Coturnix japonica: one gene and its partner. The protein of the gene in region 1 purifies or fractionates together with the protein of each later gene. This does not show direct contact. Links are inferred from orthologs where the notes say so. Each region holds a gene or a part of one and is shown in the gene's direction. Other genes may lie near its edges.

Region 1 (3,756 bases):
ATGGGAGAAGACCTCAGCTTATGAGCCCGTCTCCCTGGGACACAAGCTCTTGTAGCAGTACCTTTGGAGAAGAGCATTGCAATGTGCTTTGGGGAGGCAGAAAGGAGGCTGGAGGTGTCTCCTCACCTGCAGTGACAGCTCAGAGACTGTGATGCCTGCCAGAGGTGTAAAAGCAAAGGTGAGGTTTTTAGAACAAAATGGTTCAAGGGAATAGTGAGACTTGCTGCAATTTTCTTGCAAGAGAAAGTATTTTGAGAGGAAAGAACTCAAGGTTTCTGTCACTCTGAATCACAGAATATCCTAAACTAGAAGAGACCCATAAAAACCACTGAACCCAACTCCTGGTTCCACATAGAACCACTCAGATCATGTGTTTGACAGCACTGCGCGGGTGCTTTTTGAACTCCAGCACCCAACCAACCTCTAATTGAAGAACCTATTCATGATATCCAACCTGAACCTCCTGAGTTACACTGTCCCACCACACGCTTCTTCCCTAGTTTTAGGAGGGGAAATGGGTGGTTTTTGAAGCTGAGACGCAGAGGCTGCCAAGCACGTACCTCCTCACACAGCGTGGAGAGTTTGGGCACCCATGTCAGAACCACAAAGGCCCCAACACCGACATCAGGGCACACTCTCGTGTCAGGAGCCCTTCGCTGCCGTTGCTCGCTGCGAGAGCCGCTTCTGTCTGGCTGCCACCTCCCTGTAGCCCTAAGCGGGGCGGTTCGGAGCCCCCTGTGCTGTGGGTAGAGCAGCATGCTGTACTTCTGCCCCGCAGGCTTCTCCCTCACACACAACCGCTCGCTCTGGCCTTCTCCAGCTCTGCTGCTGCCTGCGCTCTCCCTGTCTCCCTGCCAGCTTTTCTTCGGGAGCGTTCTCTGCCCTTCTCTGGACGCACTGGGTAACGCCGGGCTATCCAGAACACAACAAGGCTGCTCCATGTCAGCTAACGGGGCGGTCAGCGCTGCCCACCGCCAGCCTTAATGGCACTCATAGGCTGTGCCGTTAATGGCACTCATAGGCTGTGCCGTTAATGGCACTCATAGGCTGTGCCCTCGTATGTTCGACGCCTCGCGGTTCTCTCTCCTCAGCGTGGCAGTGCTGTTGAGGAGCTCTGTGGCAGTGTACGCGGAGCCCCCAGTTGTCGTCCCGCACGCAGACTGTTATAAGCCGTGTTAACGTATTAACGAACGGCCGGCACCGGACACGCGTCCCCAATGGGGCCGGGCGAGGTTTGTCCCGCGCCGCCTCCCGTCCCCGCCGACGTCACTCAGCCCCGGCCGGGCCCAGCGCCTTAACAAGCTGCGCAGCCGCCCTTATATCAACGGAGGGGGAGGACGCGCCGTCCGATTGGTCCATCCCGCTGTCCTTCATCAACCAGCAGGGGCGTCGGCGGCTCGCGATTGGTTGTCCCGTCGGGGCGGGGAGAGCGGCCGCTGGGATTGGCTGCCTCGGCCGGTGGCGGGTGCGAGGGAGTGCGAGGGGGCGGGGCGGGGGGTCGTGAGGCGCCGCTGTCAGCGCCGCTCCCGGCCAGGCCCCGCGCAGCCAGGACAGCCCGCTCAGCCCGCCCAGCCCGCGGCGCGGCGCGGCAGGACCATGTCGGCCACGGACGAGCGGGCCAAGGAGATCCTGAGGGGCTTCAAGCTGTATCCTCACCGAGGGGGAGCGAGGGGGGGGCGGGCGGGGCTGGGGGAAAAGGGGGGGGGTGGCTGGGTACCGGGGTTTCCCTGTGTGAGGGCGGTTGTCATGGCAGCTCTGCCACACACGGGGCTGTTGTGTCGCGTCCCCCTCTCGGCCTCGCGTTGCGGGTCCGTCCCTCTGGGCGCTGGGCCGGGGGCAGCGCGGGGCTCCGAGCGGGCACTGCTGCGTCGTGCCGGGCCCTGAGGCGTCAGCGCTGCCCGAGTCCGGTTGTTAACGCGTCTGTCTGCGGTACGCGATGAAAGTTTGCGCCTTGTCGCTTGGCGTGCTGGGCGAGCACCAGTTTAACGCCGGTGCAGTGAAGCAGAAGTGGGAGCGGAGGGTCCTGAGTGCGGCCTTGCAACCTTGGGGATGGGGGGGGGGAATGACGGCTCAGCGCATAGGTCTGTGTGTGTGTAAGGGTGGGAGATGTGTACAGCTGATTTTACCGTAGCAGATTCTACTGCGCATAGTGGGCAGGTGCCAGCTTGGCCTTAAGGGGCAAGAAAACCAGTGGCTGTATTTTTTTTCCCCCCATAATGGAAAGGACAGAACCAAAGTGAATGAAAGGACAGAACCAAAGCGAATGAAAGGACAGAACCAAAGCGAATGAAAGGACAGAACCAAAGCGAATGAAAGGACAGAACCAAAGTGAATACCCCTCTTGCTCCAATGCTGTTATTCCTGAGCATATTTTTGGCCAGCGAGGTGCTGCTAATCTCTGTGCCAGCTGCAGCAGAATCTGAGTTACTCAGTTGGATTCAGCTGCTATCAAACTATTGGCAGATGCTTTGCTGAACTTATGAATCACTGTCCCCTCCCCCCCAGCTTTTAGTTCTGCAGCTGGTTCCTTTGCTTCTGCACTGGTAATATTGACAGTTCTTTTTGTTTGTGGAGCTGTAAGATTTTGGCTGTCAAAACACAATTTAAGCGTGTTTTGTGCGAGTAATTAGGAAAAGCATAAGCTCCTGACAAGATGAGACTGAGCTTTTGGTAGAGATGAGAAGGGTTGGAGAGTTAAACTTAAGGTACAGACTTTCACGTGTTTGTTTCTACTGGTTTGTGCACGTGCTTTGCCAGAAGCAGAATCTGAATGAAGGTCTGTGTCCAGCTATGGATGAAAAATCACTTCCATTGTTTGGTAACTTAAATAGAAAATGTTTCTTGACCTGGTGTTAAAGGTAAACCTCAATAGCTCAGATTGGAAAATCAGGAAAGTATTTATCGATGTATTGCATAGATGGGATTTCTTGAGTTGAGATAGTTGAATAATATGCAAGTATTAGAAGGAAAGTGACAGAGCAGGCATTCCTCATTTATGAGAGAAAGCCCTGAGACACCACAGCATCCACACAGGAAGCAGTTCGTGCCCAGATGTGGCCTCATTCTCTGTAAGGCAGCCACCAGCTCAGGCTTCCTTTTTTTGACAGTGTGTATTCTAAAACAGTACATTTGAAAGAGATGCTTTATCTTCTGCTCCCTGTGCTGAAGTATGTGTTAACTTGGTGCCCTCAATAAGAAAGGAAGAGAGAAACATCCTCCGGGAAGCTCTCAGGTTTATATTTGGAGTACTTGAACTTCTTCCTCCTCCCAAGAAGGAAGGAGCACACCCTGCAAACTTGCTGTTAGCACCAGAAGCCATCACAGCAGTACTTTAGGTATGGCATAAAAAGAAATAAGTATATCCAAGGTAGGTTTATTTGGTAGAGGGCATCACTGAGGAATCAGTTTTCTCACTTGAATGCAAGAACACACACTTTGGAAATGGAGTTTGCATTGAGTACTGGAGCACCCTCAACTAAAGTCTGTTCATTTGTGGTTTCTGAGAAGAGACTAACTACAGGCTTTCAAGCTGATTGGGACATGCTGCTGTGCACATTAAATTACAGCCTAAATCCACCCTCTGACTTAGCACCAAGATATGCTTCCCTTCCTTTATGACACTAGCACAGAAGCATGTTGTGGCTAGCGTCAAATTCAGACCAGGGTATTTTACTCCCTCTTCCCATAGACTTTGTTACTTAAGAAGATGAAAACCGAAAGGAGAAATATTTGATACTTGCAGACAAAAGAGGTTTC
Region 2 (3,656 bases), on another chromosome or scaffold:
TCCTTCATCCCAAAGACACCTATTCCTGCTGCTGAGTGATTCATTGTACCAGCCCATGTTGGCCAGCTATGAGGTTTTTTTTTTGTTTGTTTTATTTTTTTTCCTCCTTATGAAGTTCCTGCATTTCTTATAAACACCTATTTAGAAAATAAGCTTTCTCCTCCAGATCCTTCCTAAAGTCTTTTCTCTGACATTTCTAAATAAAAGCTGGACAAGAGTTATGTCCTGTTAGCTATGAATTCTGCTTATTCTGCTGACCAGCGTTGGATGTTCAAAGAAATAAAATAATAACAATTAAAAAAAAAGTAGGGGGTAATTATTTACTGCATTTTAACAGATCTTCAGTAACTGTCTATGATTGTGCCCTGCAGCTTTTCGTGATTAAATGTTTATTAACACTTGAAATCTTTTTCTAGTACTGAAACTGTGCCCTCTTTCATTGAGTGCTTGTAACATGAATTGCCTTGTGTTTACCCTGAGCTGAGTGTGCGCATATGGACAGGCACCTGGCAGTTATCTTCTGTAACAGTAACTGCACAGTTCACAGCAAACTGCCCAGAATTTAGAAGCCATGGGATGAAATACTCCCAAATGGGAAGAAGAACTGAGAATGGCACAAATTTCAGAAACACGGTTATATCCCAATTTTTACTTCCAGTCTGTTTGAAGATCTGGGATCTCGCATGCTTTTAATTGCTCTACTGTAGTAAAACATATGCTCTGCTGACCATATTTTATTCTTAATATTTACTCAAATAGAAAATAAGAAGCGCTTTGTGGTATGAATTCTTACAAGGCAGAACATTTTCTTCTTTGAAATTCATTTACCTTTTGTATGCTCTTGTGTTCCTGTGACCTCTGTTTTTTTCCTCTTGGGAAAGAGAGATTGAGAGAAATTGTTACTTGTGAGTTTGCAGAGGCTCTCTCCTGGTAGTTATTTTTAATGGAAAAAAGTTAAACAACTGTTACATAGACTGTATGAGGCTTTTTACTGACTTTGGGATTCATCTTAATTAATGTTTTTGTTCTGCCTGTTATTGGTAAAGCTGTATATTCTACATTTAATGTTATGAAGTACTGTACTACAAACGTTAGTGTTAATAGCTTAGTATTTTAGTCCTTCACAAATTAATGCCTGTGGTAACTGGATGATTTTAGGCCTGTTCTTATAAACAAGGCCTTACTGATGTGCAAGGAACAGTAATATGTGGCAAAAACTCCACATTAACCAAAGTAAGCAGTATAAATGGGGTGTAGGAATCCCCTGCTAGACTAAAAATCTCCAAGAGAAAATCTCCAGAGCCTACAAATTAAAGACCTCCAATATCATTTTAAAATAAAGCCTTTTATGAAGTATGAGAGCATTTTTTTTCAGCTGATAATCAAATGACACTATTATGCAGGCTTACTAGATTTGCAAATTTACAAGTTTTTACAAGTCAGTTGGGTCCCTTCCTCAGGAAATCAGTTTAAGTTTTTTTTTCCTGTATTGACTCAAAGAGCCTGGTTGTCCTTAAATCCTTCTGAATATATTTGCCTTATAATTTGACGGCAGAGAGTCAACACCCTTATAGGAACTGTAATGCAATAAAAAGAGAAACTTTTCAATATAGTTTCCAGTTACCTTAGGATCAGATTTGGAAAAACTGGAATGTGCACAATAAAACCTGTGCAAGACTTGAGCTCCATGTTGTGTTGTAGGCGAGTGCTTTTTAACATCAAATAGCGTTCGAAAGCTTTACTTTGCTTCCCATGATTATAAAATGCTAAAAATGAAAATGTGCTGGAATGTGGAATTGAAGACTTCACATATAAAGTAATGAACCATCAATATTTTTATTCTTTATTTTTAAAATTATTATTATTATAGTGAATGTTTTTGCTCTACTGTGTTCTTCAATAAAGTTATTTATGACTCATTTCAGGTGTGCTTTGTGAACTATGTGTCTCTAGTTTATGCTGGACTAACATTATATATAATATATATATATATATATAATACATATATAATTATAACTAATTATACTGACATTATACCTGTAAAAAAACAAACAAAACACGCAATTTAATTGTTTCAGATTCTTTTTTCTTGCATGTAGTTACTGGGAAAGTTGTTACCAATTGCTTGTGCGAGTCCATAGGTTTTTTTTTCTTTAGATCAGATATGGATTTCTTCTTTTGTACAATGACTGTTGTGATTACTGTATTTTTCTGGCACTTGCACGCCTCTGCAAAGAATAAGATGACATGTGATTTATTCCTAATGAACGAGTTTTCTAAGACAGATAACTACATAAAGCAACTCTAATGCAGTAATCTTTTTTTCCCCGCTTGTTTCTAGTTGACTTGGAGCATATGCGCACAGTGAAAGTTGACAAGCATCAGCGATTCTGTCAGGAAAACAATTTCAGTAGTCATTTTGTGTCAGCCAAGACAGGAGATTCTGTAAGTAAGAAAAGTAAACTCTGTATTGATCTTTCTGTGGATGTATACATTCTTTATTAACTACAGCATCTTCTCATTTGATTTGTGGATTGAGGTATAGATCATAATATGGAAGTACTCTTGGCTAGTATATCATCGTGAGAAATGAGGCCTTTTGGGTCTCTGCTGTCAGCCTTTGTTCCAGGTGAAGTCTCATCTATAGAGTATCAACACAGAAACTTTTTAACAGTTGATAATTTCACAAGATCCTGTTACAATCAAAATTTTTAATATGGGTTCTGAGCCAGAAGACGTTCTCTCTGCAGGTCCATTCAAACTTGAACTTTCTGGTATTTGTAGTGCTTTGCCGAGCACATTTTAGAATGATCATTTATCTCAGACCTAACTTGGATACTTGTTTTAGTTGGAAGTGTATGGAAGATAAGATTCTCTTTTAGTTGACTGTATCAGTCAGATGAGATCACATTGTATTGTTTTTCTTGATTTCTATTGCATGCCTAATGACTTTGTGATTCCTGTAAAAAATAAGTCTGTCTCTTTCTCATACAGGCAACATAATGTACTTTATTTGAGTATTTCTGGAGAGTAAGACCGTGTCCAGTTATATGGAAGCATATTTCTGTAACATAAATGGCATCACTTGTTGTTTTAAGATATTTGATGAAAGCTCAATTACTTCTAGAGTGGACTGCCAGATTTTATAATCTGTGTAATTATTGTGTTATACCGCTGATACAAATGCAGTGAATCCTGATTCTCCTTAGAGTTTGTGTTGAATCTTTGGCAGGAATTTTTGTTTAAAGTCTGAAAATGTTTTTCTTATGTTAGAAAGAGAAGACAAATTCTATAATACTTCATGCAGTGAAGTTTGCATGTGATGAAATGTGTTCCTTTCTCAAGGAGACAACCATTTTGTGGTAAAGTAGTGGTTTTTATAAGATAGATGTAGTTAACATTACAAATTAAGAAGGAATCTTTATTATGTCTTTTTAATTGATGATGTAATTCATGATTACAGCAGCATCCCACTGTATATGCTAATCGTACTTTTTTTAACTTACTGTTTAAAAACAAAAGTAAATCTGAATGTACCTAAAAGCATTCACCAGAACTTTCTGTCTAAATATCTACTGACAAAAGAAGGTATGAAGAATGGTTTACAGTAGTTCATTTTTAGTTTCGGTATAGGTTTGAATTAACTCTTTCCACTC

The links. Proteins that work in one complex are often made in the same cells at the same time.
Region 2: the proteins of PDE6D (region 1) and RAB28 purify together in Homo sapiens (affinity purification with mass spectrometry; 3 studies listed by BioGRID and IntAct, with this or other methods). This does not show direct contact. The link is inferred for Coturnix japonica from reciprocal best matches to the Homo sapiens genes PDE6D and RAB28.

What each region holds. Positions count from the first base shown.
Region 1 is NC_029524.1:13,402,360-13,406,115, reverse strand, and holds the start of PDE6D (retinal rod rhodopsin-sensitive cGMP 3',5'-cyclic phosphodiesterase subunit delta), read left to right. Parts: upstream 1-1,479; 5' UTR 1,480-1,596; coding exon 1,597-1,646; intron 1,647-3,208; exon of another isoform or gene 3,209-3,756. Other genes in the region: COPS7B (COP9 signalosome complex subunit 7b), read right to left, coding at 561-941. UniProt on the Homo sapiens protein: Promotes the release of prenylated target proteins from cellular membranes. Modulates the activity of prenylated or palmitoylated Ras family members by regulating their subcellular location.
Region 2 is NC_029519.1:70,292,125-70,295,780, forward strand, and holds part of RAB28 (ras-related protein Rab-28), read left to right. Parts: intron 1-2,341; coding exon 2,342-2,445; intron 2,446-3,656.